Mus musculus: one gene and its partners. The protein of the gene in region 3 interacts with the protein of the main gene of each other region in a pairwise test. Links are inferred from orthologs where the notes say so. Each region holds a gene or a part of one and is shown on either strand. Other genes may lie near its edges. The genes, in order: Drap1, Hoxa1, Sdcbp, Srek1ip1, Cda, Zbtb8a and Gpatch11.

What was found.
Region 1: the proteins of Sdcbp (region 3) and Drap1 interact in binary tests that used the Homo sapiens proteins (3 or more experiments, as listed by UniProt). The two-hybrid records come from large-scale screens. The link is inferred for Mus musculus from reciprocal best matches to the Homo sapiens genes SDCBP and DRAP1.
Region 2: the proteins of Sdcbp (region 3) and Hoxa1 interact in binary tests that used the Homo sapiens proteins (3 or more experiments, as listed by UniProt). The two-hybrid records come from large-scale screens. The link is inferred for Mus musculus from reciprocal best matches to the Homo sapiens genes SDCBP and HOXA1.
Region 4: the proteins of Sdcbp (region 3) and Srek1ip1 interact in binary tests that used the Homo sapiens proteins (3 or more experiments, as listed by UniProt). The two-hybrid records come from large-scale screens. The link is inferred for Mus musculus from reciprocal best matches to the Homo sapiens genes SDCBP and SREK1IP1.
Region 5: the proteins of Sdcbp (region 3) and Cda interact in binary tests that used the Homo sapiens proteins (3 or more experiments, as listed by UniProt). The two-hybrid records come from large-scale screens. The link is inferred for Mus musculus from reciprocal best matches to the Homo sapiens genes SDCBP and CDA.
Region 6: the proteins of Sdcbp (region 3) and Zbtb8a interact in binary tests that used the Homo sapiens proteins (3 or more experiments, as listed by UniProt). The two-hybrid records come from large-scale screens. The link is inferred for Mus musculus from reciprocal best matches to the Homo sapiens genes SDCBP and ZBTB8A.
Region 7: the proteins of Sdcbp (region 3) and Gpatch11 interact in binary tests that used the Homo sapiens proteins (3 or more experiments, as listed by UniProt). The two-hybrid records come from large-scale screens. The link is inferred for Mus musculus from reciprocal best matches to the Homo sapiens genes SDCBP and GPATCH11.

Annotation. Positions count from the first base shown.
Region 1 is NC_000085.6:5,422,304-5,426,372, forward strand, and holds Drap1 (dr1-associated corepressor), read right to left. Parts: upstream 2,677-4,069; 5' UTR 2,412-2,676; coding exon 2,370-2,411; intron 2,131-2,369; coding exon 2,058-2,130; intron 1,973-2,057; coding exon 1,879-1,972; intron 1,589-1,878; coding exon 1,469-1,588; intron 1,372-1,468; coding exon of another isoform or gene 1,351-1,371; coding exon 1,257-1,350; intron 1,117-1,256; coding exon 1,028-1,116; intron 723-1,027; coding exon 617-722; 3' UTR 501-616; downstream 1-500. Other genes in the region: AI837181 (UPF0696 protein C11orf68 homolog), read left to right, coding at 2,866-3,005, 3,648-4,069. UniProt on the Homo sapiens protein: The association of the DR1/DRAP1 heterodimer with TBP results in a functional repression of both activated and basal transcription of class II genes.
Region 2 is NC_000072.6:52,155,518-52,159,674, forward strand, and holds the start of Hoxa1 (homeobox protein Hox-A1), read right to left. Parts: upstream 2,801-4,157; 5' UTR 2,705-2,800; coding exon 2,050-2,704; intron 1,573-2,049; coding exon 1,217-1,572; 3' UTR 1-1,216. UniProt on the Homo sapiens protein: Sequence-specific transcription factor. Regulates multiple developmental processes including brainstem, inner and outer ear, abducens nerve and cardiovascular development and morphogenesis as well as cognition and behavior.
Region 3 is NC_000070.6:6,364,332-6,368,479, reverse strand, and holds the start of Sdcbp (syntenin-1), read right to left. Parts: upstream 2,801-4,148; 5' UTR 2,721-2,800; exon of another isoform or gene 2,559-2,720; intron 1-2,558. UniProt on the Homo sapiens protein: Multifunctional adapter protein involved in diverse array of functions including trafficking of transmembrane proteins, neuro and immunomodulation, exosome biogenesis, and tumorigenesis.
Region 4 is NC_000079.6:104,815,725-104,819,969, reverse strand, and holds the start of Srek1ip1 (protein SREK1IP1), read right to left. Parts: upstream 2,801-4,245; 5' UTR 2,617-2,800; coding exon 2,604-2,616; intron 1-2,603. Other genes in the region: spliceosome-associated protein CWC27 homolog, read left to right, coding at 3,242-3,283. UniProt on the Homo sapiens protein: Possible splicing regulator involved in the control of cellular survival.
Region 5 is NC_000070.6:138,338,028-138,340,991, forward strand, and holds the end of Cda (cytidine deaminase), read right to left. Parts: intron 974-2,964; coding exon 857-973; 3' UTR 501-856; downstream 1-500. UniProt on the Homo sapiens protein: This enzyme scavenges exogenous and endogenous cytidine and 2'-deoxycytidine for UMP synthesis.
Region 6 is NC_000070.6:129,375,229-129,379,188, forward strand, and holds the start of Zbtb8a (zinc finger and BTB domain-containing protein 8A), read right to left. Parts: upstream 2,801-3,960; 5' UTR 2,512-2,800; intron 1-2,511. UniProt on the Homo sapiens protein: May be involved in transcriptional regulation.
Region 7 is NC_000083.6:78,834,016-78,838,315, reverse strand, and holds the start of Gpatch11 (G patch domain-containing protein 11), read right to left. Parts: upstream 2,801-4,300; 5' UTR 2,638-2,800; intron 1,523-2,637; 5' UTR 1,396-1,522; intron 486-1,395; 5' UTR 473-485; coding exon 414-472; intron 67-413; exon of another isoform or gene 1-66. Other genes in the region: Heatr5b (HEAT repeat-containing protein 5B), read left to right, coding at 4,095-4,220.

The DNA of each region.
Region 1 (4,069 bases), on a different chromosome or scaffold from region 3:
CCTCCATCAGGAAGAAGTCAGCGAGCTTGGCAACAGATGACTTAGATGACTCTGGGTCTTACAGACGTCGGGAACCCCACATGGCCTCTGCCTCCTGCCCCACTCAGCACCGCTGCTCCCTGAAGATGTACCGCTTGCCTTTGGCACACAAGCTGCCCAGGCTGCTCATATTCACAGTAGGCAGACTGCTTGGCGCTGCAGAGCACTGTAGTTTTCAAGGCCCAGTCTCAGTCCTGACTCCATCTGTCCCTCCTCAGCAGGCCAGGGAGGGGAAGAAGGCTGCTCAAGGTCCCGCACGATGAGAGCTCATCCCTTGGTGCTTCCAGTCTCTAAACCACACCCCTTTCTTCGGTGCCCCTTCACCAGACTCCTGTCAGACTCCCCGTTTTTGCTCAATCACTGGCTGCCCCCACACCATCCCTGCTGCCCCTCATGTGGGGAAGTAGGTGGGTGGGCAATAAGAATACAGCCACAAAGCCACAGGATGAAAAGAAACCAAAATCCTTTTTTTTTTTTTTTTTTAATAAATTTAAGAACAATCCCACCTTTCTCCTCTCCCCAAAGCAATTAATACTAACTAGAAGAGAGCATGGCTGGGGTACAGGGGCACAGGGCGCTAGGAGTCATAATCCTCTTCATCCTCTGCATCGGCTGCTGAGGGGCCGGGGGGTGCTGGTGGCAAAGGCAGGGGAGATGTGAAGGGTATGAAGGGAGTTGGAGGGCTGCGACAAAATGGAGAAAATCAGGCTTGCCACTATGCTGTGCCCAGCCCACAGGCCCCACCCCCTCCTCCAGAGGCAGAGGCAGATGTGGTCGTCCCCCCAGGAGGGAAGGTGCCAGAGAGGACCACTCTTTAGACTGTCTCCCTGACTACCGTGGAGACAAGACCTTCTCAGAACAATGTCTTGTGTCTAATGTCCCCTCCCATTCCCTAAGTCAGCCGCCACCATCAAGTGGCCAGGGAAGCAAACCTAACTGGCTATGGGGAGTTTGGCGTGCCCCTTTCTGGTGCTCCTGGGGTGCTCACCTCTGAAAGTGGGCAGGAGGGTGACTGGCTTGGGGTGGAAGCTGTGGTGTCTCTTCTTCCCCATCAGTATCTGTATCCTCAGACTCATCCTGAGAGCACGGAAGGGGTCAGGGTTAATGAGAGGGCCCGGGCCCATCTCTGGGGAGCCCAGACCCTGGGAGAGGAATGGAGATGGAGGAACAAGAGGCAGCAGACAAGGCTGAGGCCATCACCCATCAGCCTCACTCACCTCCTGCTCAGAGTCTGTCCCGGACAGCTTCTTGTCTTTGCCTTTGCTTCCCGTGCCTCCGTTCTTCCTGCCGCTGCTGCCCGGTTTCCGGCCCCTTCGGGAAGGTACAGTCCATCTGCACGAGGACTCTCTCCTCCTGGTTCATCCCCCAGCCACCCCCAACCTTGTGGCCTTGGCCTTCCCCACCTGTATACCGGGTCTTGGCTACCCACCTTCGAGGACCCTTGTCCCCATCCACGTGGTTGTCCTCCCCATCCCCCTGCATGTCAGGCACTGATGCCACCAAGTCTTTCAAGAAGTCAAACTGCTGCTCGAGTTCAATGCACTGCTTCCTAAAGAAGTGGGAAAGGAAGGGGTTCAAATGGGGCCCCCAAAACACTTAGGGAAGGATACAAACAACTTCTTCGTGTCAGTACAGTGGAACGTTAAAAACACCCCTACTTCCACCAGGCCTCCTGGGAGGGCCGGTGGCTCGGATCTGGTTGTATTCCCTGCACCTGAAACACCTAATCTCTCCTGCATCAGTCCAAATCCACAAAGCTGGCCTCCCTGGGCCTTGCACCACTCCCCCTGTCGGAACTCTGCCTCCTCAAAAGCCCCTCCCAGCTCGGCGGCCACTCACAGGTGGGACGTGGTCATGGTTTTGGCATTTCGAGACTGGGTCACCTGGCAAGCCTTCTTCAACAGGGACTCCAGGAAGAGCTCAAGGGCCCGGGCTGAAGACGTCAAGGAGAATCCAAAAAGGGGAGTGCCGCAGTCCCGCCCCACGCCCCTCAGCCCAACCGGCCCCTAGTAGGATACAGATGATGACAGGCACAGCTGCCGCCACCTTCCCAATCTCTTCGTCCGTCTGCATGATCTTTTTGATCCGCGCCTGCCGAAAGGAAGAGGACAGAGCTCGTCTCTTGCGTCCCTAACACGGGGGACAGAGGGAACCGGGGGTATCCCGGGAGAAGGAGAAGAGGGCGGGGGGCGCTAAGTCAGGAGGGCATGGAAGGGGCGGGGCGTCAGGCCGTGAACACCTAAAGGCACCCGCCCCCCCCACCAGCAGGACCTGGGCCCAAGCCTCCCGGGAGCCCTGCCTGCCGGGGCCCATCCGGGCCACGTGCTCACCGGCGGAAACCGCGCGTTATACTTCTTCTTCTTGCTTGGCATCTCGGGGCCTCTCGTTGCGCCGGGCCCAGCGCCGCCGCCCGCAGCCTCCCGGCCCCGGGCCTGTCCGCCGCCGGCCCGCCGCGGTCCCCCCCCCCACCCTCCCCGGGTCCTGGTGCCGTTTACTCCGCCTACACCACTTCCCGCAGGGTCCTAGTGCCGCCCGTAGACAAGCAGCTCCCCAAACTCGAGCGCTGGGCTTCGGATCCTCTGGGGCGGTGCGCGTCCTTCCCCGGGCTCGCCCGCCACGCCCACCCGCCCCCCAAGCTAAAGTACGAACGTTAGCTCCGCCTCCCGAAGACCTGCACCTCCCGGGATTCTCGCGCCGGCTCCGCCCCTGGACGCTGCCCGCCCCTTCCCCTGGAGCCCCCGCCCCTAGCCTTCTGGTTCCGCCTCTGGCCCCGCCCCGTGACTGTGTTTGTCTATAAAGTTGTTGTTGAGGTGGCGGGACCCTAAGATGGCGGCGGCGGCGGCGGCCGTGGCAGGGGCGGGGCGCGGCGGGGGTGGCGGCGGCGGCGGCGGCGGCGCAGCAGATCCCGGGCAGGAACGGAGCCGGGCCCGAAGTTGGGTTGGCGCGGAACGGAGTGAAGGCCGGAGGTGACTGCGGGGTGGCGAGAGGGACGGCAACCCTTAAGCTGTGGGCACTAATGGCGGCGGATGTGGTAGGGCTGGAGCCTGGTCCTCGCGCAGGCCTGGTCCTATCTGGTTCGAGTCTGGATGGTACCCATTGACCCCCTGATGGGCCGCTGCCCTCTCTGGGGCTCAGAGCCTCGGTGTTTCACGGTGCCCCCAATCGTTCACCGGGGGAGGCCTGGCCCTCTACAGCCATCCTCTGAGGTTGGCGACCCTGCGTTTTGCCTACGTCCATTATATTGCAGCGCCGCGCTACCTTGCAGGACTCTAGTCCGGTGGTGTAGCCGAGCCCCGTGCCAGTTCACACTTAAGCTCTGGCGCTCTTTACGGGCATGACCTTGGGCAAGCCCCTTTTCTTAAGAGTTTCAATTTCCTTGTTTGTAAGCAGTGAAAGTAGTACTAACTATAGCTACTCCACCTCAGGCGTCTTATTCTGGAGACAAATCTAGACAGGATCAGTTGTTACCCATTGTGAAGATGAAGCAACTGAGGCACAGACATTATGTCTTGCCCAGGGCCACAGTTTACTGCAGTGCCTGGCACCCTCCAGGACCCAGCACTTTTTATTTACTGTCTCAAACCTCTGACTCAGTTCCCTCACAACAGGATGGAACCAAATGAGGAGCTGGAAGAGGAAGACTCTCCAGGTGGCCGGGAGGATGGCTTCACTGCTGAGCACCTGGCTGCAGAGGCCATGGCAGCCGATATGGACCCCTGGCTGGTATTTGATGCCCGTACCACACCTGCCACAGAGCTGGATGCCTGGTTGGCCAAGTACCCACCATCTCAAGTTACTCGCTATGGGGACCCAGGTTCACCCAACTCTGAACCTGTGGGCTGGATTGCAGCCTATGGGCAGGGTTACACCCCCAACTCAGGGGATGTACAAGGGCTGCAGGCGGCCTGGGAGGCTCTGCAGACCAGTGGGCGACCCATCACACCAGGTACCCTGCGCCAGCTGGCCATCACCCACCATGTGCTCTCCGGCAAGTGGCTGATTCACCTGTCACCTGGCTTCAAGCTGGACC
Region 2 (4,157 bases), on a different chromosome or scaffold from region 3:
CCATGTGAAATGGGCCAACTTAGTAGTAAGCAACCACTGTAGTCCAGCCAAATACACAAGATGCTTAGGCATACCTAAAACTTGAATACTTTTATTACAGACATCTTAAGACCCGTAAACTCTGCTCTGGACCACATCACTCCAGGATCTCAGAGCTGTTCATGATTGTACAGTAAATGGAGACTATCATAGGCTCACAAAGAATAACTGATAGAACTCAGTGTGATATTTCAGGGACATCAGAACATTGTGCGACATGCAGAAGACTAGTCACGAATCACACAAAATATACATTCATTGTGCCATCCATCACATTAACAATTAGCTGGAAATACACTGGATCCAGCCATGATACAAGACAGTGTGGAAGGAAAGGGTGACTGAAAGAATGAATACCTTTGGGTTACAAATGATCCAGCATGATTTTTAAATGCAGGGTGGCCAGAGAAGCAGGAAGAATTGGTTAGAGTTTGGGAAGACCTGGCACAGGCAAAGTGCTTGGCAGGCCTTCTTAACTCTGAAAGAACCAATTGAGGCCAACTTCTGAGGCATCTGACTCTGTTTGAATGAAAGAGGTTTTCTTCTTTCGCCCATAATCACACATGAACTGTACCAGTTTTGAGAATTTGTCCACCCTGTTTGATTTAGTGACCTACATATTTCTATAAAATGTGTATAAAGATAAATCTCTGACGGGAAAGCATTTACAACCAGCAAACTCACACACATGAAACCAGCTAAGTTAGGGGGTGAATTAATTGTGTAAACACAGTGCATCTCTTCTTCATGAGTCTTTGGACACTCTCTCTCCTCTATGTCCTACTTAAGGGCTAGGTGGAGAAGAACAATACATAGATAAAAGGAGAGATGCCTCCTTCCTGCAAATGTCTGATGGCAAAGGGAACTAACTGTTCTCCAGCCGACATCTAAAAGGAATCATAGGTTGTGGGGAGAAAAAAATCTCACAACAGTGAAGGAAAGGATGTTGGGAGCCATCAGCAATTGATGTGGACACCCGATGTGGATGAAGGAGTTAACTTCCAACCAAGGCTCCAGAATTCTCTGGAAATACCTTATCTTGGCCAGGAGCTCCCCAGATGGGACGAGAAAGGAAGAGAGAGTCTGTAAAGAAAGGAAGATAAGCTAAGAATGTGCTTTGGGTAAGAAATCCCAGCCCAGGGAGAAGCCTGGGCTGCAGAGTTGGGCTGGAGTAGCCTCAGTGGGAGGTAGTCAGAGTGTCTGAGGTAGACGATGCCGGAGAAGGGGCACTGGGCGAGGGGCTAGATTTCTCAGATGATTCTTCCGTTTTCTCATCGCTGCCAGGAGGAGTGGCAGGGGAGATGGGCAGGAGCCCCTCCTTCTCACGCTTCTTCTGCTTCATGCGGCGATTCTGGAACCAGATCTTCACCTGGGTCTCATTGAGCTGTAGGGACGCGGCAATCTCCACCCTGCGCGCTCGTGTAAGGTACTTGTTGAAGTGGAACTCCTTCTCCAGCTCTGTGAGCTGCTTGGTGGTGAAATTGGTGCGCACTGCGTTGGGTTGACCCACGTAGCCGTACTCTCCAACTTTCCCTAGGGTAGGGGAGGAAGAGAGAAAAGATTAAAAAAAAAATCTTAAACCTTTATCCAGATTGCCCCAAGCTTGAGGCAATATTCGGTTAACTACTCAGCGAGCACAAACCCTATCGGGAAGCGCCAGTGACGATGTGTAAGCAGTGTTAACCTGAAGTCAACCATTAGTGTGATCAGGCTCGTGATTAATGGAGCCTTGTAGATATTAACAGGACATCACCATCACCACCATCACCACCATCACCACCTCCCACTCCCCGCACACTATCTAACTATAGACCATTTAAACCTCAGCCCCTGTGAAACGCTTTTGCCTCTGCACACCTGGGCACCCTACACCACTCACTACAACTCTAGATGACATTAGACATAAACAAGAACCAATCTTTTAAAAATCATTCATTTTCCTAGGAAACTAGGTGTGCCAGCCCCTTTCAAAAATCGAACAGCATTTGTCTGTCAGCCGGCAGGACTTACCTGTTTTGGGAGGGTTTCTTTTAACTTTCATCCAGTCAAAGGTCTGCGCTGGAGAAGACGTCTCTGAAGCAGGGGAACGACAGGCTTCTTGGTGGCTGGCGTGGAGAGGGGATAAGGAGTTATTATACGTGGCCAGGGCCAGAGTCTGCTGCTCTTGTCCATATGAGTGGTGAATGTACTGGGGCGAGCCCACTGTGCCCCCAGCATAACCCTGGTGGTGGTGGTGATGCTGGACCATGGGAGTCGAGAGGTTTCCAGAGTAAACAGCGGGAGCGCACGGGGGGTACCCACCACTTACGTCTGCTTCCTGATTTAATCCATAGGGGCCATAAGGCGCACTGAAGTTCTGCGCGCCATAGCTTGGACCACAACTCGAGTGGGAATAAGAAATCCCAAGGTTTCCAGAAGTCTGGTAAGTAGCCGTCTGGGGGTGGTGATGGTGGTGGTGGTGGTGGTGGTGGTGGGGCGAGCTGATCTGCACCCCCCTGCCCACTAGGAAGCGGTCGTCGCCGCCGCAGCTGTTGGCACTGACCGCGCAGGATTGGAAAGTTGTAATCCCATGGTCAGAGGGGTAAGCTCGCGCCGAGCAGGTCCCAGAGTCGCCACTGCCAAGGATGGGGTATTCCAGAAAGGAGTTCATTCTTGCATTGTCCATCTGTCACTGAGTGATTGGATCCTGCGAAGCCCTGGGTGACCGTGCCAACTTTCTCACTTCCTCCATAGGACCAGAGAAGAAAAATGATATGAATGTACAGTGCGCAAGAGGCGGGGCGGGCAGGCGGAGGGCTCGAGGGGAGGACACGTGACTCTACCAGCCAATGGCTGAGCCGCCTGCGAAAGTTTACCGGCTGCGGCCGTGATGGATCACCGTTTCAGTGGCATTTAAATCCCCGGCGCTCCTCAGTGTAGGTGACGCGCGCTCGCCCCCCCAGGCAGCCCGGGCCGCGGCGGTAGCAGCGGCCGCTCCCGGAGCTGACTTGGAGCACTGGGACCAAAGGGAGTCGAGACTGCCTTCTGCGCGCGCCCGGCTTTGCGCGCCTCCGCCACCAGATGTGGGGGGATGGGAGGCCCCCTCCGCGGCCCCTTCCCCACCCAGCCCAGAAAGCTGAACTGGCAAGAGGTGAGAGGGGATGAGGCCTCCTGGCTCTCTTGTGGCGGGCATCTTGTGGGCCGAAAATCTCTGCGTGGTCGCAAGGACCCTGGCGGAGCTGGGAGCACGCGGGGTGGGAAGGGTGGGAATCCAACAGACACCACGCCCTCAGCTCGGGGCGGCCGCCACTACCCAACCCCTGCAAGAGACCTGAGCCCGGAATCCCGGCGCCTAGGGCGAGGTTGCGTCACTGGCTCGCCAGCCTCGGAATGTAGAGGGACGTGCGCAGAGGATTGACTGGGAGGAACCATGGTGAATGTGCTGGGGACCAAAGCAAGAAAAGAAACTTCTGTCCTCATCCAAAGGGTCTTAGAGCCCTCTTCCCTGATTCCTGCCGGCCAATAGCATGGCAATGGGAGCTTCTGTAATTCGACCCCAGGGTCCCGGGATTCGGGGGTGGGGGTGGGGGTGGGGGGGGCTACGAACCCAGCTCTCTGGGAAAGGCCGGGTGTCCACTCTCTTCTCTGCCCTCTCTCCTTCTCTGTCGCTTTGCTCTTGGTAGCCCTGCAAAATCGGGGCAACTCTGCTACTGGAGTTTAAGGAGTAGAAGGCAAAGGAGATTGTTGACGCCAGCAGACGTGGCTGACTGGCGTGAGGGCCGAGCCTGAGCTGCAGGCCATCTGCCAACTCTTAGAGACCCAGGAGCATGCTCACTCTAGGGTAGGCCTCAGAAGGGCAGATAACAGGCAACTCCTAAAAAGTATGCAGACCTCCCCCGTCGAGTTTCTCTCTTCCAGGAGAGGCAAGTTAGGAGTGGAAGAGCCCCCCCTTCCCACCATCCCCTATTGCCTGTGTGGACTGGGGCATGGGGGGTGTTGAGGACCGGCAGGTGGGAGGGACAGATGACTGAGTGGATGGGACCCTTTCCAACGGGCTTGTGTGAACCTGCAGGTCACTCCCCAGAGAGACACGTGCAGATGTGAGCATCATCCCAGGACAGGGGTCCTGTTTCCCATCA
Region 3 (4,148 bases):
AAGCAATGATGTGCTGGAACAAAGATAATAGTTGAAATCTTCACAATGGTTAAAAGATAGGACCACATATTCTAATTGGGGAAATTAGCGCAAGTCAAATATGTGGCCCATTTCAACTATGTATAATCAAACCCAAATACTTTGGAATGGCTTAGTTTTCCTTCGTTGAAATCACTCTTAAAATTTCCGGTAATGTTCCACTGTGGAACTTTTCACTTCAGACAACTAAATACAAATAATTTAAAAGCATAAATAAGAAAAAGTGTTGTGTTGAATTCAAATAAAATAATAAGGACCTTGGTTGTCCAGAGGGACAAAAGACAATCCTTGTAGTTCATATAATGTGTCAAAGAACATACCTGAATCAATCCTAACAGAAATTCTGTGACCACATGGAATGAACACACCACACACACACACACACACACACACACAGTGAAAGAGAACTCACTTAGGTCAGGTCCCAAGAGAAGTATTTGACTTTAGCTAATCTTCAGATAAAAACTACCTCAGGCATAAAAAAAAAAAAGTTCCCAGGAGTGGGGGCAACGACTGGACTGTAAAAAAATAAATAAACCAAACATCCCAGGGGCTTCTGATGATCAGCCACTGAGACCTGCGCCCATATGTGTCACAGGTTAGTATAGGGTCTATAGAGGGGAAGCGGTTACCCTTCATTACAGCTGTAAGAGGAGCTGGAGCTGTTGTGATCTGTTGTGATGTGACAGGAGTCTTGCAGGGGGAGAGCCTTCAGCTCGGAAACGTGGAAGGAGGTTCTGCTTATTCTCCGTCAGGAGTGGGGCCCAGGAAGGTTCAGACCATGTACACTAGTAGGGCACACTAAGAAGGTGACAAAGTTAAAACTGTAGAGTTGTTGTGAGTCTGGGCCCCAGGGGCCTAGGTTCCTGGCAGGTCTGTATGCAGGAGCTCCAAGGAACACATGCTGTTCAGTTCCCAGCACCCATTCTTGGGGCAACTGACAAAACCACTAATTCAACCCCACAGGCACGCTGACTCTGGCCTCTCCACTCCCTGCACTCCCCATCCCACTCCCACGTATGTACACACACACATACACACACACACACACACACCATTTTTTAAAAAGCTAGCGGAAAGAAACTATCATTTTTTAAATATAGTTGTTCAAAGCCTTTTACAATTTTAAGAAAGTTAAGTATAAGAGGAGTAACTCCTACAATTTAGACATCTGCTCCAATTATAACTCCAGACACAGTAAGACCGCTTCATGTCTTTAGTTGACATGTACTTGCAAAGGGTGACAATCATACCTACTAGCTTGGTCACAGTGACACTGACCAAAACACAGCCAAACTTAACCATAACTGAAAGTTATAATCCAAAATGTTATTACTAACTGGAAAAACAGACACATACAGCAGAAAATCATGCCTTCCTCAGTGTTAAACTGAGGGAAACATATTTACATGTCTGACCATAGAGGCACTATCTGAACCAGTACCTAAGACCGTAAAAGAACTGGCCTGCCAGAGGAAATATGGCTGGCTGGTGGGCACAACCAAAGCCTATGCCAAGCACAGGGGAGGTTTTATACTGTATGCTCTACATTTTAAATGCTTAAAATTTTGAGCCATATGTTTACTAATTACATCCTTAAAAGCTAAAATTTTCAGTAAGTGTTGCAACATTTGGCAATTAATAAGTACAAGGAGAACGATTATTAAATGTATAAGTATTTTAAAGTGTGTGGGTGTCTTTTACAGTCTCTGGATGTTTACTACCTAAGAGAAAGTGGCAAAAATGGGGGGAAGTCGGTGAGCCGTGCTCATTTTAAAGGGCTGCTTAATTCAAAAGTGCATCAAAATCTTAATCAGCCCTTTCTTGTTCATGATTTTTAAATCCTCTTTAATAGATCCAGCACAGCTAAAATCTGCTTCCAAAGTTAAGTGACTCTGGCTATAATGGAGTAATTGTTTACTGAGCCTTCTCGTCATTCCATTTCCTTATTTCCTGGTGCAAGTCATCTGATCAGTAATACTTACGTACCACTTAAGACCTACCAGTTTAAGGACCTAAGTTGTTAACAGGATGAAAAGGCATATTTTCTGCTTTGTCCTATCCTCACATCGGGAAAATGAGAGTACAAATCTGCTGAACTATATCACCTTGACATTTCAAAAGTAAGACAATTGACCAGGGCAGCAGCTATTTTCAATATAACTTTCGTTCTTAAACATTTGTTCTCGGTGTAAAGCGTGCGTGTTAAGAATTTAAAACTCTACACTTTCTAAGTAATTTACCTAATGGAAAACAAAACAAAACAAGAAAAAAAAAAGCTATGTGTCGAAGATAGGACGAATACAACAAACGATCCCACACACTCCACGGCTCCATAACTGCACTTCTGAAACTGGAAACTTTCCACGTCTGTACGCCTCCCTCCGCCCCGTATTAGAAGGAAATCCTCCAAGGAGATCTGAGTCACCAGACCTCCGGAGACCGTTCCTGGTGCACACACCCCGCTGCAAGCCCTGGCCCTCCCTGCCCCCTTCCAGAGCAGCGGCTCCGCAGCTAACCGTTGTCACCTCCGGTCCGTCGCGCCCTGCCAGCCGTCCGGAAGCCGCTGAGGACGCCACCGAGTGCGGGCGAGGACCCGGCCAGACCCACCCGGGGCCCGAAGCAGAGCGCCGGACCAGCTCCGAGACCTGCCGGGGCCCGGGACCCCCGCGGCCACTCACCTGCCCCGAGGACCGCGCCGCTCCTGCTGCCCGCTCCAGCTCCACACAACCGAACCTCGGGGCCCGCCCTGCGCGTCATCACCGCCCCCGCCTTCCGCCGCGCAGGCGCAGGCGCACGCGCCGTCCCCATGACAACGCGGCACAGCCCGAGCGACCACCAGCCCACCCTCCCTCTACGAAATCCTCCCAACTCCCGGCTCCAGCCTCGGTTCCCTGGCAGCCCCCGCCGCCTTTTACTACCCTTTGTTCCCAGAACGAATGCTCATTGGCTGCTGACTGTTACTCTCGGTGTTGAACACACACACACACACACACACACACCCTGAAATAAATAAAACCCACATTCTAATCTTAAAAACACGGACTATGTGCTTTCTGAGAGTTGATGGTGCTGATAGGGGAATCCAGATGTTTGGGGTGTACATGAATATGTGAAACTGACAATATCTACACCAGTCCATGGCTGAGGCCATTTCCTAGTAACAGTATATGACATCATTGGCATGCAAGCAATTGTCTATCTAAATTATTCATCATCACAGTCATTTGAAATTTTATCTCTGGTAAAACAATAAGCATTACATGACAAGAGGAATGAAAATGTGATGCTCCAGGGAGAATATGGCTTAACTGATGAACAACTTGTAAAACGAGTTACGGGATGGAAAAGGAAGAAATACAGTTCTATTCACAGCTGGCAAGATTATCTATGTAAACAAAGAGAAAATAAACACCAGTAAGCAGAATAAGCAGCTACAGCAAGGTTGCTACGATACACGGTTAATATACACACGAGTCAATTACTTTCCTATCTGCACGAAATGAGCAATTGGAATTGAATATTAAAAATATATCAAGATAAAATACTTAGCTACAAGCCTAGTTGAATGAATATCTGTGTGAAGGAAAACTCCTAATTAGAATTTCATGCTGTGGAAATAAATAGGTTGGAATGTCGAAAGTCCAGAGGAAGATCACCATATCTTGGGCTAAATCCTGGCCCTCCAGAACAGCCATTCCTTGTTTCCCTGTGTCTAAACTAACATCTTGTGACAATAAACAACAGGTCTTTAGAATCTATTGAATTAGCAGGCAACTAGCTTCTACCAATCCAAATGCTTAGAATGCCACCAGAAAACACCTTGCGTCTTACAGAAAGGTTCCCTGAACCTCACCCCCACTGCCTTGTCCTGCCTCTCTGAAGTAAGCGCCTATGTATTGTAAGCTTGCCTTGACTGATGACTTCCTCTGTCCTGTAAAATGGTGCACGCCTTTAATCCCAGCACTTGGGAGGCAGAAGCAGGCAGATTTCTGAGTTCGAGGCCAGCCTGGTCTACAGAGTGAGTTCCAGGACAGCCAGGGCTACACAAAGAAACCCTGTCTCAGAAAAACAAACAAAAACAAAAACAAAAACTATGAGAGCTACTT
Region 4 (4,245 bases), on a different chromosome or scaffold from region 3:
TCAATGGAGCCCCATTTTCCTTCCGTGCAGCATCTGGATCGATCATCCAAGAAATTATCTTAACATCTTCTGTATCTGCACTTTCTAAAGCAGTTGCATTGTGCGTTTGTGCCACCTGTCAAGCCTATTATCTTGATTTTTTTGGGGGGGGTGGGTTTAAGCAGTTTATGTAAGTCATTCCATCTGGCTTAATGACACAATTTATTATTATGCTTTGAAACATTATTTTGAATTGAAAGGTTAACATTTTTTTTAACACTGGTCTCAAGTTTAAGAGCATCTCAAACAAAGCTAGAAGAAAAATCACTTTTTGTCCCTTTTCTTCAGGAGCAAATTATCATTCCTAAAGTTTTACGGTGTGTCTCCTGGTGTGTTCATACTCTACCAGTGCTCCAGCGCCTGCCCAAATGATGGGCAGTGACAGCAGGCCAACTCTGGGTGCAACTGTGTGATGCAGAGGTCACCAGAGCCTCACGAAATGCTTAGGCAAGTACTGTGCAGGCTCGTGGTTCTCAGCTCTTTCCTTTACATGCTATTATTCCTAGACTCCAGTCAGGTCTTCCCTTCACACATTACCCACTGTGTCTGCACAGTCCCTCACACTTTATCCTTTTAGTCCTATAATAAGTGTTGGTTTTGACTCTGACTTCTTGTCCAGTATTCTGTTTATTCCCATGCTATCTATGGGCCATTTCCATCCCGGGCCAGATAGACCTCAACACAAGTTCCAGACTGACCTTACCACCATCTCTCAACTCTGATCTTGAGGGATGTCTTCCCAGTTATGAGGCCTCCTCAAATGAGCTAATGTCAAAAACCAGGTTAATCTCATTTCCTACCCACACCAAAGCAATTAATTCTTAGTGATTCTACCACCACCACCACCCCCCCCTCCAAATTAGCTGCTTCTCTCTTAATGAGTCTACATCCTCAATGGTAACATAACTGACCAGAATCACCCTTAAGTACCAACAACGCCTCTACATTAACTAACTCTCCTCTAGGTCACAGTATCCTAAAATGTAATTTTTCTTAAAGCTGTTAAGTGTTTTCCTACTGTCTATTAACATCCTAACACTTTGTTTTTGCTTGTAAGGTCCTTCAGTCGCAGGGAATCTATTGTGCCATGGATATGTTGGAGAATGCATTTGCATTCATGGTGGCCAAGAGCTTGGATAATCTCCATTAGCTTTTGTAATAGGCAAGTTACTTGATTTCTCCGTCTGTGAAGTGAGACTAACAACAGCTATCTCATAGCAGTGGTTATTAAAGGGAGGAAAAAAATATACAATGTTTGACATAGTATCAGATACATGGGTTACATAGTAAAAGTTAGATACTTTGAATTATCGCTTTAGTTAATTTCTCTTTTCTCTCAGGTTAGCTGATCGTTAGCCACGGCAGGGCTCTTTCATTCCCTCTTTTAGTTCCTCTTCCTTTCTGTATCTGCTCCCTCTCCCTGCAGGTCCCCTGCACTCTCACCTTTCTTTAGCTTTCATCTGGAACATCCTTTTGTACACTCTGGATCCTGTTAGGTGTCCTGTTTTTGCTCGCCCCAGCGTTAGTTCTACTTTCTGTAAATCCCCCCCCCCCCGAATTCTAGGAGAGCAAGGGTTTCTACCATGCTGACTGCCACACACTCAATAAATGTAGTCACCTCTCTTTTCACAGCTCCTGGAGTGCTCCTCTGCAGAAGTTAGGAAGCAGCCCCACCCCGCAACAGTAATCTCTAGAATAAAGTTCAGAAAAGGCTGCCACGGAACAAAGACAGGGGTCAAACAGTAGCGGGAAGGGGCAGTGTTAAGCAAAGTTGGGGCTTCACAAATAGTTTGAGGGTCTTTCCTACAGTACTATGCACTGTGAATCTCCGAGATGCGAGGCGGGTATATCTCTTAAAAACACCTGCTTGATAATAGGGTTTTACAGAAACACATTCTGACAAAGTCGGCTTGGGGAAGTTCTTAGCGGCTCCCCAGTAAACTGGAGCAACAAAAACATCCCCGGAGCTCAGTTTGCCGTTTCTAGGTTAGAAACCTCTGAACACAAAAGTGGAACCTACAAAGAATCTTAGATCTAATTCGAGAAAGCACTGTCTTGAAACTGATAGGGAAACTGAGGCCCGGAAGGGCACAGCAGCGGGCCTGCAGCCACATAGAAATTACAGGCTGGAAGTGCTAGAACAAGCCTCAGGTGCTCTTCTTGGCGACTTTCAGTATAATGTGTATAGCCACCTGGATTCGGCAAAATGCTCACATTTCGAATTTTATTTTGAAATCGTGTGAAAGTTACAGTCTTCTGGGCAAGTTGTCCCCTTAGGCCTACAGTTCTCATTGTCACCAAGTCCCTTGTCCCTCTTACAATACACTTTCCCTCTAATCCTGTGCAGTTTGGGCTTGTCCAAGAATGACAGAGATGATCTTTCCCTATCTTTCTCACCCCGCTTTGAACTTGTAGTATAAGCTTTTTCATGTAAGCCGACCAAATCTAAATTTTTAGGCCTTCGCCTGATTCCCCAAGTGCTCGCTGCCACCCACCCCCGTGCTCTGGGCTTCCCTGCTCGTCTCATTCCTCTGGAGTGAGAGAGCCCTGCGGTTGACCTTCACCTGGGACTGCCATGATGCAAGGTGAGTGGGATCGTCGGAGTCCTGGGCTTTCGAGATCACGTTAGGTTCAGGTCCGTTGCGAGGACAGCGCATTCCCAAAGGGATCTCTCCCACCCGGCCACTACAACTTCACCGGGCAGGGGAAGGCCCGATGCACATCTAGGGTTGGCGGAACTAAGTGGCTGTGGATGCAGTTTCCAGGGGTGTCCTACCGCGGAGCACACGCGGTCGGAACCATTTCGGCCCGCTTCGGGAGGTGAGTGCTATCTGCAATCGCCTGACCTGGACGCAGCCCCGGGATTTACGGATTGGCCCTTTAGCTCGTATTATAAACCTCGCTACAAATTCTCTAAAGTTGTAGAGGTCCTATAGTCTTTTCTAGTTTCCTGAAGGACAGGGAAGTCCCCCCTCCCGGGGTTAGCGGTGCTCCGGTCCGGGAGCAACATGGCGGCGTCCATGATGGGCTAGTTTGGGGAGTAACTAGTGATTAGTACGGCTGTCTTGTCCGACTCTGACCGAGTGAAGTTTTCCCCCAAATACTCAGGTTAAAGAATTGTGTGCTAACAGGTGGGCCTCGCCGGAGACCCGCCATTCGCTTGCGGCCACACTAAGGAGCGGAGTCCTGAGCACTGAGCAAGATGAGTAACATCTACATCCAGGAGCCGCCCACTAATGGGAAGGTGAGAGCCTTACCTCCTGGACACGGTGACTGGGGGCGGGCAGGGAGGGGCAGCTATCGGGGATTTTAGAGGTGGAAAGACCAAAGGACTCTTCTCCACACCCTGCATATGGCCAGTGTTGCATTTATATTCTTTACGGTGACGTGTCTCAGCATATTTTTGAAAGAGTTCTTGGGCAACCTCCCTATTCGCTAGTCTTCTGACCCCTTAACTTCCTTGATCCAACTCACGTGAGCGCCTTCTAGTGTCTATTGTTTTTAAGACTTATCTCAAGATTGTACACTTTTGCTTGTTGTTTAACTTGGAGATCGTGCATTCTCTACAGTCATTATTGAAGGCCTCTTTGGCACCACGCACTCTACTAGGTGCTGATGATACAAAGGTTGGTATTCTACCTTTATATGTGTGTCTGTATTATAGACACACACACACACACACACACACACACACACACACACACGTATATATATACTAATTCCCTATCTCAGGATTACAGACGTGCATGAACACACCTGCCTTTGCTTGGGAGGTATTGAAGAAGAGATTATATTGCCATGACAGTGATGGAGGGAAAACAGGAAATGATGGGGAAAACATCTTGGAGGAGATATCTTTTGAGATAATTGTCAGTTAGAAGCAGGGGAGGAGTGAGGAATGTTATTTCATAGGAATGGGAGTAGATTCCCTGATAGATTTCATGCTGAGCTATATATTTCTAGAGGACAATATTAATTTTAATGAATAAATGCGTGTAGAGATGAAATAGACTGACCATTCCACAATGCAGAACCTTCACGCTTCATTTCTCTAGTTTGCTATTTTACCTGTTCAAATGTAACAAAGAAGCCTATCAAATAGCAGATCTCAGTGATGCCCTGGGTCTCAGCAATTACCCAGTATTTAACAGTATCTTACCTTGGTTTCTTTCCTATATAGAATGCAAACACTATAGAGTTGAAGAT
Region 5 (2,964 bases), about 130 Mb from region 3:
TCCTGTAACAAAGACCCGTGAGAACCAGCTCAAGAGGAAAGGTTTACCTGGGCTCGTGGTCTTGGAGGGTCTGGTCTGAGGCACCATTAACTTTGAGCCTCTCTGGCGGTCTAAGCGCACATCTCTGTGTGAGTGTGTGGTCACGACCAGCTCACCTCATAGCTGGGAAGTGATGAAGAGGAGGTACAGCCTGGAAGCCTCCATATCCTTCAGGGACACATCCCCAGTGACCTAGCTTCCTCCCACTCGGTCCAGTCCGTGGACCTTGGAGGCACATCCCATGTCCAAGCTATAGTGAATGGGCTCTTGTAATCAAACCCTGCCTAAGGGCCTCCGGTCCAAGAACGCAGAGGCAAGGAGCTTCGGCTCTCAGACGCCACTTAGAGAGGCAACCTGGGAAGCTCCCACATCCTCTGCCAGAAGAAAGCAACTAAGACTGCCTGCCCCGTGAGACAAACCACCCCTGAGAACTGTATACACAGACTAAGAACAAAAACACGTTCTTCTCAAACAGCACGTGCTGTGGCATTTATAATCTGAAAAGTCACACGACAGAGCCTAAGAAGGCTGGTAGGGAGGCAGACCGGGTCTGGAATACCCGTGTCTTTGGGAGTGGAAGGAGAGGAGTGCTCTGAGTCCCCAAGAGGATGTGGGCTTTGGCCTAGGTGAGTGGCACCTTCCATCACTCAAGGGGAGGCTGTGGTGTGTGAATCAAGGTCACCCTTGCCCAGCCATTTGGGACCCATGTGGCAAGTGTCCCCAAGGCCCAGCCAGAGACAGCATCATTATGAAGTCTTCCAAGAGCCGTTCCTTAGGTAGGGCTTGCACATTCAGCAGACATTCTATTCTTCAACCTTCACTGAATCTTCTGCAGGTCTTCAGGTCCAAACGAGGCCGGCAGCAGCTCCTGGACCGTCCTGACTACGAATGTGCCATCCGGCTTGGTCATGTACACGGCCCAGTCGGTGCCAAACTGGAAGAGAGGGCAAAGTTGTGTGAGGGAGGCCGTGGGACTGAGGGAGATGGAAGGTACGGGTTCGAATGTGACTCTACTATTTTCTTTGTGCCTTAGTTTCCATTACCTGTCAAATGGGAGTAACAATAGTTGTACCTGGCTCACAGAGCCTGGGGGAGAGCTCAGTGGAAAAGCATTGGCCAACATCACCGTGCATGGCCTGTTGTCAATGGGCCACGAGCATCCCCTTGGAGGATGCTCCCAGGAGCTTTGTAAAAATAATACCTTTGCCAGGCGTGGTGGTGCACGCCTTTAATTCCAGCACTTGGGAGGCAGAGGCAGGCGGATCTCTGAGTTCGAGGCCAGCCTGGTCTACAAAGTGAGTTCCAGGACAACCAAGGCTACACAGAGAAACCCTGTCTCGAAAAAAACAAAAAAACAAAAACAAAAAACCCTTCTCTCTGTTTTCATGTATGTGTGGTATACACGTGTTTGTATGCATGTGAGGGGGGGCGCATATGGGTAAACATGCATGTGGAAGCCCAAGGGTTGGGTCCCGAATCATCCTTCATGGCTCCTCTGCCTTATTCACAGAGGCAGCGTCTCTCTATCAAACCCAGAGCTCGGCCATATCACTAGTCCAGCCAGCCACTTTGCTGTGGGGATCCCCTGTCTCCGCCTTCCAAGTCTGGAATTGCAGGCATCTGCCCAGATCACCTGGGTTTCTAGGGATGCAAACTCTGGTCCTCGAGGGTTAAATATGCAAGAGTTTAACCACTGAAATCGCTTCCTAGCACCGGTTGAAATATCTGTGCCTTGGGCTGCAGAGATGGCTCGGCAGTTAAGAGATGGCTCGGCAGTTAAGAGCACTCAGAATTCTTGCAGAGGAGCCGAGTTTATCTCCAACCCCTACACTGGGAAGCCCACGATTTCCTCTAACTCCAGCTCCACGAAGATCTGATGCTCTGGCCTTCGTGGGCAACTGTGTTTAAAATGCACATCTTGGCACAGACATAATTAAAAATTAAATCTTTTTTCAAAGTCTATGCCCCAGAGCTAAGCTTCCTTCTGCAATGGCAAATGACAGCCAACACCCGCTGCCCTCTACAGGTTCCCCTTTGTACCTCCAAGAAGGAATTTTTGTCTCTTTCAGGACACTCAACACACTATGTTGACATTATAGCATTATCGCCCCCTGGAGGTGGTGGCTGTCATTACATTCCTTTCACTATTGGAGAAACAGACTTAGTGCTATCAATCAGCTGTGGTGGTTTGAAAGCAATGGAATTCTTGGTCCCCAGTTGGCCAACCTGTTTGGGGAGGGTTGGGGAATATGGGTGTGCTGGAGGAAGAGCCGCTGGAAGCAGGCTCCGAGGTTTCAAAATCCATGGTTTCCAGCACTCTCTCTGTTTCCTGCTCACTGTTCCAGATGTGAGGGAGTTTCCAGATGTGAGCTTCCAGCTTCCAGCTCCAGCCAGCATGTCTCTCATCTGCCGTCCCTGCATTATGGACCCCAACCTTCTGGAACCATTAGCCCCAAGTAAACTTCAACTGCTTTGGTCATGGTGTCTCATCACAGCAGTGGGAAGGTAACTAACTAATACATCAGCAGAGATGAGCATGTCTCCAGAACTTTCTCCCATGCCCTATCTGGGTCCTCTGGGGCTCTCTGTCTTCACCCACCACGTGTTTTAGTGATAGGAGCCCTTTCCTATCCACCAGCGAGGTGGGTAGGTGGGGAGTTAAGTCGGTGACAGAGAGGAAGTCAACAGACCCGACTTCTTCCTGGCAGGCATGGTGAGATTCACAGACCCTGGTGCCTAGTCGGAGCCCAGTTCTCAGAGGCCGTGGCATCGTGACTGATGTGTGGGCTGCCAGCCGAGGCTGGTCCACGCCTCCTGTTCTTCCACGTGTCTGTCTGAATCACTCTCAGACACGGTTACCAGACACTATCAATCTTTGGGATTTTTCAGAATTAAGGTTTCAAGGGTGGTGAATTTTCATGTTTA
Region 6 (3,960 bases), about 120 Mb from region 3:
TTCTACCCATTTTACTAATGAAGGCACAGCACTGTATTTACCCTCATTATGTATGCCACGAAGAGGTGCCTTCCGGGAAGCAGAAAGAAGCCACACAGGGCACCATAATCTTGTGCTTCCCAGCATCTACCAGTGCAAGAAGTAAATATCTGTTCTGTTGTTTTCTTCTAGACAGGGATTCCCTGTGTATGTAGCCCTGGTTGGCCCGGAACTTGATCTGTTGACCAGGCTGGCTTCCAAAACAGAGAGATCTGCCTGCTTCTGCTGGGATTAAAGGTATGCAACGCCACGGCCCAGTAATATCTGTTCCTTCTATGTGACCTGACCTTCGGTAATCTTAGTAGCACATATGGTCTACAGGGTCTAAGATAGGAAAGTCTTAGAATGAAATGTTAGAACACTTAAGAGGGACTGGGTAGATGGCTCAGCAGTTAAAAGCACTGGCTGTTTCTCCAAGGATCTGGGTTCAATCCCCAGCACCCACATGGAGGTTCACAGCCATCTCTAACATCCATGTAAGGGGATTCAACACCCTCATCTGGCACCAGGCAAGCACTTGGTATACTGGCACAAAGGCAGGCAACACACACACACACACACATATATATATAAATCTAAAAAAAAAAAAAAATAGAGAGAGACTCGAGTTTTGAAACTATACTTGGAAAGGCCTCACCGAGAAGATGACATCTGAGTGATTGGTGTCCATAGCAGGAAAGAATGTGTATCTTTGAAACTACTCCAGGCAAACCAAACAGCAGGTGCAAAGGCCGTGAGGTGGACAGGAACAGATGGAGGAGGGATGGGTGGGGAGAGGAGGTCACTGTGGTGTGCCAGTAATGTCGGCTAACCCCAGGGTCTTGGGAGGCGGGGCAGGAAGAAGTAAGACCAAGGCAACCCTGAGAAAACCCTCATCTCATAATAAAATTAAAATTTAAAATAAGGGGCCTGGGGATGTATCTCAATGGTAACATTTACCTAGCCCATGCAAGGCCCGGGTTCAAAATACACACACACACACACACACACACACACACACACACACACACACGCCACACGCACACACACCACACACACCACACACACACACACACACACACCATGGGGGTTTTGGATTTTTTTATTTTTTTAGTAGGATGTGAAGGAGCCATTTAAGGTTTGGAGAGGGCTGGGTTTAGTGGTAGAGTGCCTATGTGACATGCATGGGTTCAATTCAAGTACAGGATAATATCAGGTGTGGTGATCTATGCCTGTAATCCCAGCATTTGGTAGGGGCTGCAAGAGAATCAGAGGTCCAAGATTTAGGGCTAGCCTGGGGTACATGAAACAGTGCCTTCAAAAAAAAGATATATAAAATAGCTTTTTAAAAGAGGAGTTTTAAAACTTATATTAACGTCTTTGAATATTAAAAAGTATATAATTGTGCCAAAAATTTGCCTAGTGCATCCCAGCCCTCCCGAGGTGGAGGTAAGATCAAATTTTCAAGTCTAGCCTGAGTCCGCTTTAAAACAAAGAATAAATAGGTAAATAAAAGTGCGATTTAAGTGATAAAATCAGCGAAGGTTTTGGTACTTTGGAGACTGTTCCGGGACGCTGCAAGAACAGGGCGCCTTGGGGGGCTGCCACGTCTCAGCTCCCTGCCTAGGGATGAGACTCCCTAACCATTAGCGTTTTATTTTTCCCCCTTTCCCCTTTGCTAGGTAGAATAAACAGCCGGAACCCGTAGCCGTCTCATAAGAAATTAAGTGCAATATTTCGTCAAAGTGAAACCACTCCATTTACTAAAGTTCTGCAAATAGAAAGACTTCTAGGTGTTGGCGGCGTGTGTGGTTGGGTGCCCGCTAGGTGTGAATCCTATTCCAAACACGTCTCGCAAAGACGTGGATTACGAATAACCGCACGGTCAAGGGCGAGTAAGCGCGCCAGAGCGCGAAGGGACTAAAGCCGACAGTGTCTCCAGGTGGGAGATGCCAGGGACATTCTGCCGCGGGGCCAGCTGGGGCTCCATATTTCTGCCCTCGGTTCTAAGCCCAGAACTGTCGCGTCGTGATGGAAAACCAGAGAGTGGAGGGCGGAGTGAGACCGCCGGGCTGCAGCGCCCCGCGCCCCGCGCCCGACGTCTGCAGACACGCCCGGCCCCGTGGCGCCGCCTCGCCGCCGCGGCCGTCAGGAGGCTCGGGCGCCTTCCCGCCTTTCCCCGGGCCGGGCCAAGGCTGGCGGCGGGGCGGGCGCGGGCGGCGACGGTGCAGCCATTGTCCCGCAGCCGCGCCCGGGGCCGCCGCCGCCGCCCGCGTCTCCTTTGTGGCCGTCGCCGACCCTCGGAGCCGCCGCTCTGCGCCCCCGGCTGCAAATGGCGCCGGGTGCCCCCTGCGTCGCCCGGCGCACCGGCTGGGGTTGCAGTCCCGGGGCGCACCCCGGCGGCTCCGCCGCCCTCCGCCAGGCTCTGGGCCCGGCCCGCAGCCCCGACGCCCGGGCCGCCCTCCTCCCGCCCGCGCCCGTGCAGCCACTTACCGCGGGGCTCTAGCCGCTCGCTCGCTCGCTCGCTCGCGCGCGCGCGCGCTGCGGAGCGATTCCCGGTTCCGGGTAGGGGAAGCAGCCCCTTTCCGAAGCCGAGGCTTTGCGCCCTAAAACAAGTAGCCCCAACGTGGGAGAAACAAAAGGTATTTGCTGACGTGGGCGTTGGACAGAAACGCCCGAGGGCTGAGGACACAATTAAAGGGGCAACGCACAGATTTCAGGCACCAACCAGCAGCTTCGCCCACTCCCCCTGTCCGTGCCCACGCCCGACTGCACCCTCCGCAGGCACTAGGGCGCCCAGGTTCCCCAGCAGTTGATTGGGGATCATTCTTTTAGTCGGGAGCTTAAATTTTAAAATTGTACTTTACGTTGGGAAAGGCGCCTCCGGAGGGCAGAAGGGCTGGATTTCTAATATGTGGAGATATTGGTTCAAGGAGAGAGGGAGGGACTTAGGCGTGCCCACAAATACTGTATACATGTGACATTATTGTACTTAAGTTTAGCGACGTAAAATGGGAGAGAGTTCCACAAAATCGCCCTTTGACGAAGCACTTAATTTCAGTTATAGCCTTTTAGAAACCTCTGTAGGTCCCCATCAAGCCCTTTGAAGAGGCAAGCCCGGAGGGGCTGAGATTAAGAGGCCGTGATTCTTTATATAAAACTAGTACAAAACAGTGTTTCGTGTTTTCAAATATAAAAATTGGTCGTAAAATCAAGTTTCTCTTCTGACGTGACCCTAATATTTATGGCACACAAATATCAGGTGATACATTTCCTAAAATAGTAAACCGCTGAATTTTCATACTGCTTAAATTCCACAAACTAAATTAGTTTTCTACTTCTTCACGCTGATTGTCAAGTAATGCGGAATGGGGGAGAAGATTCAAAGTCTCAAAGCATGCGTTTAATATTTTGAGGCGTTCCTCTCCCAAGCCTCAGTCAAGCCCATCAGGGTCCTATTTCTCCGATCTCCTCACTAAGTAACTATGTATTCGAACATCATTCTCTCTGAGAATACAATACAGTCATTTCTGAATGAAAAAAAAAAAAAAAGGAGAAATAAAAAGGAAAGGGACATGCCTGGTCCTAGGTATAGTGGAGGAGAAAGTTTATTATAGATATGTGGGAGAGCACAGCCAGAGGCAGGAACATCTGGGAGAGTACAGAGTGAACTGAGCTGTGCCCTGTGATGTGGGGTGGGGGAGGGAGGAGAGAGAGCAGCAGAACCAAGTACAGCAGGAGACCCAAATTACAAAGAGGGTAGGGAGCCAAAATGGTTGGATTATATAGGGAAGAATAGCTCAGCCCCCTGGACTGGAGGATTCAAGCTAGGGGGCCGGATATGCCAGCCTAGAGGACCCTGTAACAGGTATTGGACTGAGGGATGCTGGGAGAACCTGGTGGCCAGGTCAGCTTTGACATGTTAACTAGGCACCCCAGCTA
Region 7 (4,300 bases), on a different chromosome or scaffold from region 3:
GAAGTGGCTCCCAAAAGTTGTTTTCCAATCTCCACAGGGGTGCAGTGCCCTTCCCACAATGATGAACTAAAGTTTAAAAATTAAAATATATATTAAAAAATATCCTGTGCTAGGGCAGTAGTCCCGTTGTCAGGGTACTTGTCTAGCATGCATAAAGCCCTGAGTGTGATCCCCAAAACTGCAAAACCCAGACATTGTGGCACATAGCCTTTGCTGTAGTCTCAGCCCTTAGGAGGTAGAGGCAGGAGGATGAGCTGCCCAGTGAGCTGGAGAACTGCCTAAGCTCCATGTACCCCTAGCTTTAAACAAACAGACATGACCACCACCTCTACCCAACCAATGTCCTTATTTCATTCTATTTGTGTCTTTTGGATATCCAGACACCATCAAATTAGATATACCCATTTACTCACTGAACATTAATGAAGGAATCCGACATATAGTCCTCCTCTTCTGTCATGCTCTCCTTCATCTGACAACACTACCTGCAAATCAAGTAGGACCAAGGGTGAGAGCGATCATCCTCGTCATAATTTTAGTTTATCAATACAGAAATCGACCATGGAGAGTGGCAATGCTTCACTATGCTCCCTTGTATGCAAAGATGGAGAATCTTAGCACCCTATGTCTTAGCAACAGAGAGGCTGCCAACCCAACAAAGGCCAACTGGGAATGGTGTGGGTTTTAGAAACCTCAAAGGTTTCTAAACTGACACACCTCCTCCAACAATGCTTTCCAAAAAGTACTATGAGCCAACTGTAAGCCATTCTAATCAAAGTCACCAGACCACCAGAGACAAATACTCTTGTTTTATCCTTTTTTTTTTTTTTTCTCTCTCCCTGAGATCAGGTCACCCGCCACCTCAGGCTGGCATGGAACTCACCATGTAGTCCACGCTAGCCTTGAACCTGTGATTCTCCAGTTATGAGACAAACCCTCATATAATCGTGTAGTATTCTCCAAGATGACCTGCTCCTAGTCAATTTTGTTGAGCAGTTTGTGTAATAGTTTTTAATAGGATATATTAGAGTGACTTTGTTTTTGGCTTTTCTGGAGGCAGGGTTTCTCTATGTAGTCTCAGCTATCCTGGAGCTCACTTTGTAGATCAGGCTGACCTTGAACTCATAGAGATCCACCTGCCTCTGCCTCTTGAGTGCCACCTGCGCCTGGCTTAGGGTGACTTTTTGGTCACACTATACAGTGCACTCTACAGTTGGTAGTATGAATGAATTGAGTGAAGTCAGTGGTCATATATGAGAACACTCAAGAAGCTCTGTAGAGATGGCCACGTGGGAGGATCCGAGGCACAAATGAGTGAGCCAACTAAGTGCGCCTCTTAGAAGATTAGTCAAGCCCGAGATGAATCAGACTGACCTGCAGTCTCCTAGTACTCACCTAGCTTAGGAGCAGCCCAGTAGATAAGAAGTATTAGTTCCACTTTCCAGCAGGGAAAACTGAGGCTCAATGTGGCTAAATAATTGGTTCACAACCACAAAGAATACAAGTCTTGGTGATCTTGTTCCTGAAACGGAACGAGGTTGTAATTGCTGAGATGGGTGTTGAATCCAGGGCCTCATACAAGCAAGGAATGTGCTTTATAACTGAGCTAAATCTCTAATTCAAACTAGATTATTTTTAAGGGAAGCATTTAACTCCACAGACATGGTGGCCCTCTGGTGTGATTTCAGCACCCAGCAGTTCGAGGACAGTATGATCTACCTGTGTAAAAATACACACACACACACTTACAAAAGTACAAGGGATTACATGTTACTTTTAAAGCTCTGCCTTTTATAGTTATTCCATCTTTTACATATAATTTTCACATAAAATCACACTGAAACTTCACAGCTGGGGGCACTGTAGATTCATTAAATGATACGGTTTGAGGAAGTTAATTACCAATAGTGAGGACATTATGTTAGGAAGTGGAATAAGGGGGCTGGAGAGATGGCTCAGAGGTTAAAAGAACTGTCTGCTCTTCTAGAGGTCCTGAGTTCAATTACATGGTGGCTTTATAACTATTTATAATGAAATCTGGTGCCCTCTTTGGGCCTGTAGGCATACATGCAGGCAGAACGCTATATAATAAATAAATCTTAAAAAAAAAAAAAAGGAAGGAAGAAGGAAAGAAAGAAAAAGAGAGAGAGAGAAAAGAATAAGGAATTGGGTCTTAAAATGTGAAGGTTCCCCTCCTATGAGGACAACATACACTAGCATTATCCACTTCCTTCAAATATAAGAATAAACTCCACAAGTCGATAGATAACCCAGGTAGGGATGCTGGTGGCCTGACCCCTCACTTAAGAGTCACAACAGCGAAGTGGTCAGGATTCTGGGTCTGAGGGGGTAAATCACGCAGCATCTGTTGATGGTTGGAGGTGGTGTGTGTCAAAGAGCCAGAGCAAGTTTAGGTGAAGCGCTTTGCCTGTTCCGAAATAATGGAGCAACCACTTTCTCAACAGGACGATTATAGGTGCTGCTAGCGTATTTCAGTATTGAGCACCGAGTTTGAAGCAGAGCTACAGAACACACAGAGCTGGGCTAACTCTCCTGTGGGTGCCTCGGGCATCGCAGGCTCTTTCTTCCCTCCCGCTCTCCTCCCTCCTGCACCCTCCCACCAAAACGACCACTTACGGATGGGGCGTAGCTGACGCTGTGATAGGCAGTCACAGCCAACTTGCACCGACCTCTGTCATTCTCCTGAGCGCCCGCACACCCTGAAGCCGGAGCTTTACTGCCCGGAACCAGCTCCGCGGAGGTCGCGCTGCGCATGCGCCGTGCAATTGGCGCAGGACCCACAAACATCCCACTCGTCCCCGACAGCCGATTCGCTTCGAAACTTGGGGTGGGCGGGGCTAAGAGGACGTGGGGGCGGGCCGGTCCGCAGGACCTGTGTCTCGCGCATGCGTCGTCTCCCGGCTTCCTGAGGGCCGGAGTTTGGGAGGCGGGGCATCCGGGTCCCTCGGCAGAGCGGAGCTTGGCTGCTCGGCTCGGACTAGACCAGGAGGTGAGGCGGTCTCGCGCGCTGTCAGAGCCTGCAGGCTGTGACATCCCTGGGTCCCAGGACATTTTCCGAGGGCTGAGGAGGGAATTCGAGTTTTGAGGCCGGGGATCCTCAGCCTCGGGGTTGACAGCTCGAGGACTCCTACGACGGGAGGCTGACATCCCAGGGCGGCCCGGGGACCCCGGTTTGCGTTTCCAGCAGACTCTCAGTTGTCGGGGTCTTCGGAGCGGCCCGGTGCATCCAGACCCGGAGCACTGCATTCCCGGGGCGAGGGGTTGTCCCGGGCGCCCCTGCCGCAGTGTCCCCGTGGGGCCCGCCTCCGCCGATCAGAACCCTACGGTCACTCTTCTGGGTCCCGGTGGCGAGGGACGGGTGGCGGAGAAAGCTCCCCAGACGCCTGAGCTCGGTGCTTCGGGGTTCTCAGGGTAGAATGAGTTAATAGCCTGTGTTCTAACAGGGAAACAACCGCCCCGGAATAGTGCCTTTTTTGCAGTATTTACATTTTCCTTTCATTCCATTCTTATCGCCAGTTTTTTCTTTCTTTCTTTCTTTCTTTCTTTCTTTCTTTCTTTCTTTCTTTCTTTCTTTCTTTCTTTCTTTCTTTCTTTCTTTCTTTCTTTCTTTCTTTCTTTCTTTCTTTTAAATCATTGTCCTTTCAAAGTTAGTTCTCTAATGAGAAATGAAACCACGCTTTCTTTCCCTAGCTTAGTGGTTGCATTTATGAAACTTGACATTTAATATTTAAGAAATCCTTACATGTAAGGGCTGGAGAAAGGAATCCGTGATTAAGAATACTTGTTGCTTTTGACAAGGACCTGGGTTTGATTTCCAGCGCCCACAAGATGACTCACAACCATCTGTAACTCCAGTTCTAGGGGGAGCCAACACCCTGTATATATATATATGTGTGTGTGTGTGTGTGTGTGTGTGTGTGTGTGTGTGTGTGTATGTATGTATGTATGTATGTGTATACATACATTTGGGCAAAACACTCCTACACATAAATTAAAAATTCCTTAGAATATATTTTACTCTTTTTTTAAAAAACGAATCTGTTCATTTAAGGTGTGAATTAAGAACATCAATAATGGAGCTAGCTCACAGTTTATTGCTAAATGAGGAAGCTTTGGCTCAGATCACGGAGGCAAAGAGACCCGTGTTCATCTTTGAATGGTTGAGATTTCTTGATAAAGTCCTAGTTGCTGCCAACAAGGTAAGCATTGCCCACCTCACCATAGGTTGATATAAAGAAAATTGAAGGCATTGTGTTTTGAAAATGTTATGAGTCTTTCA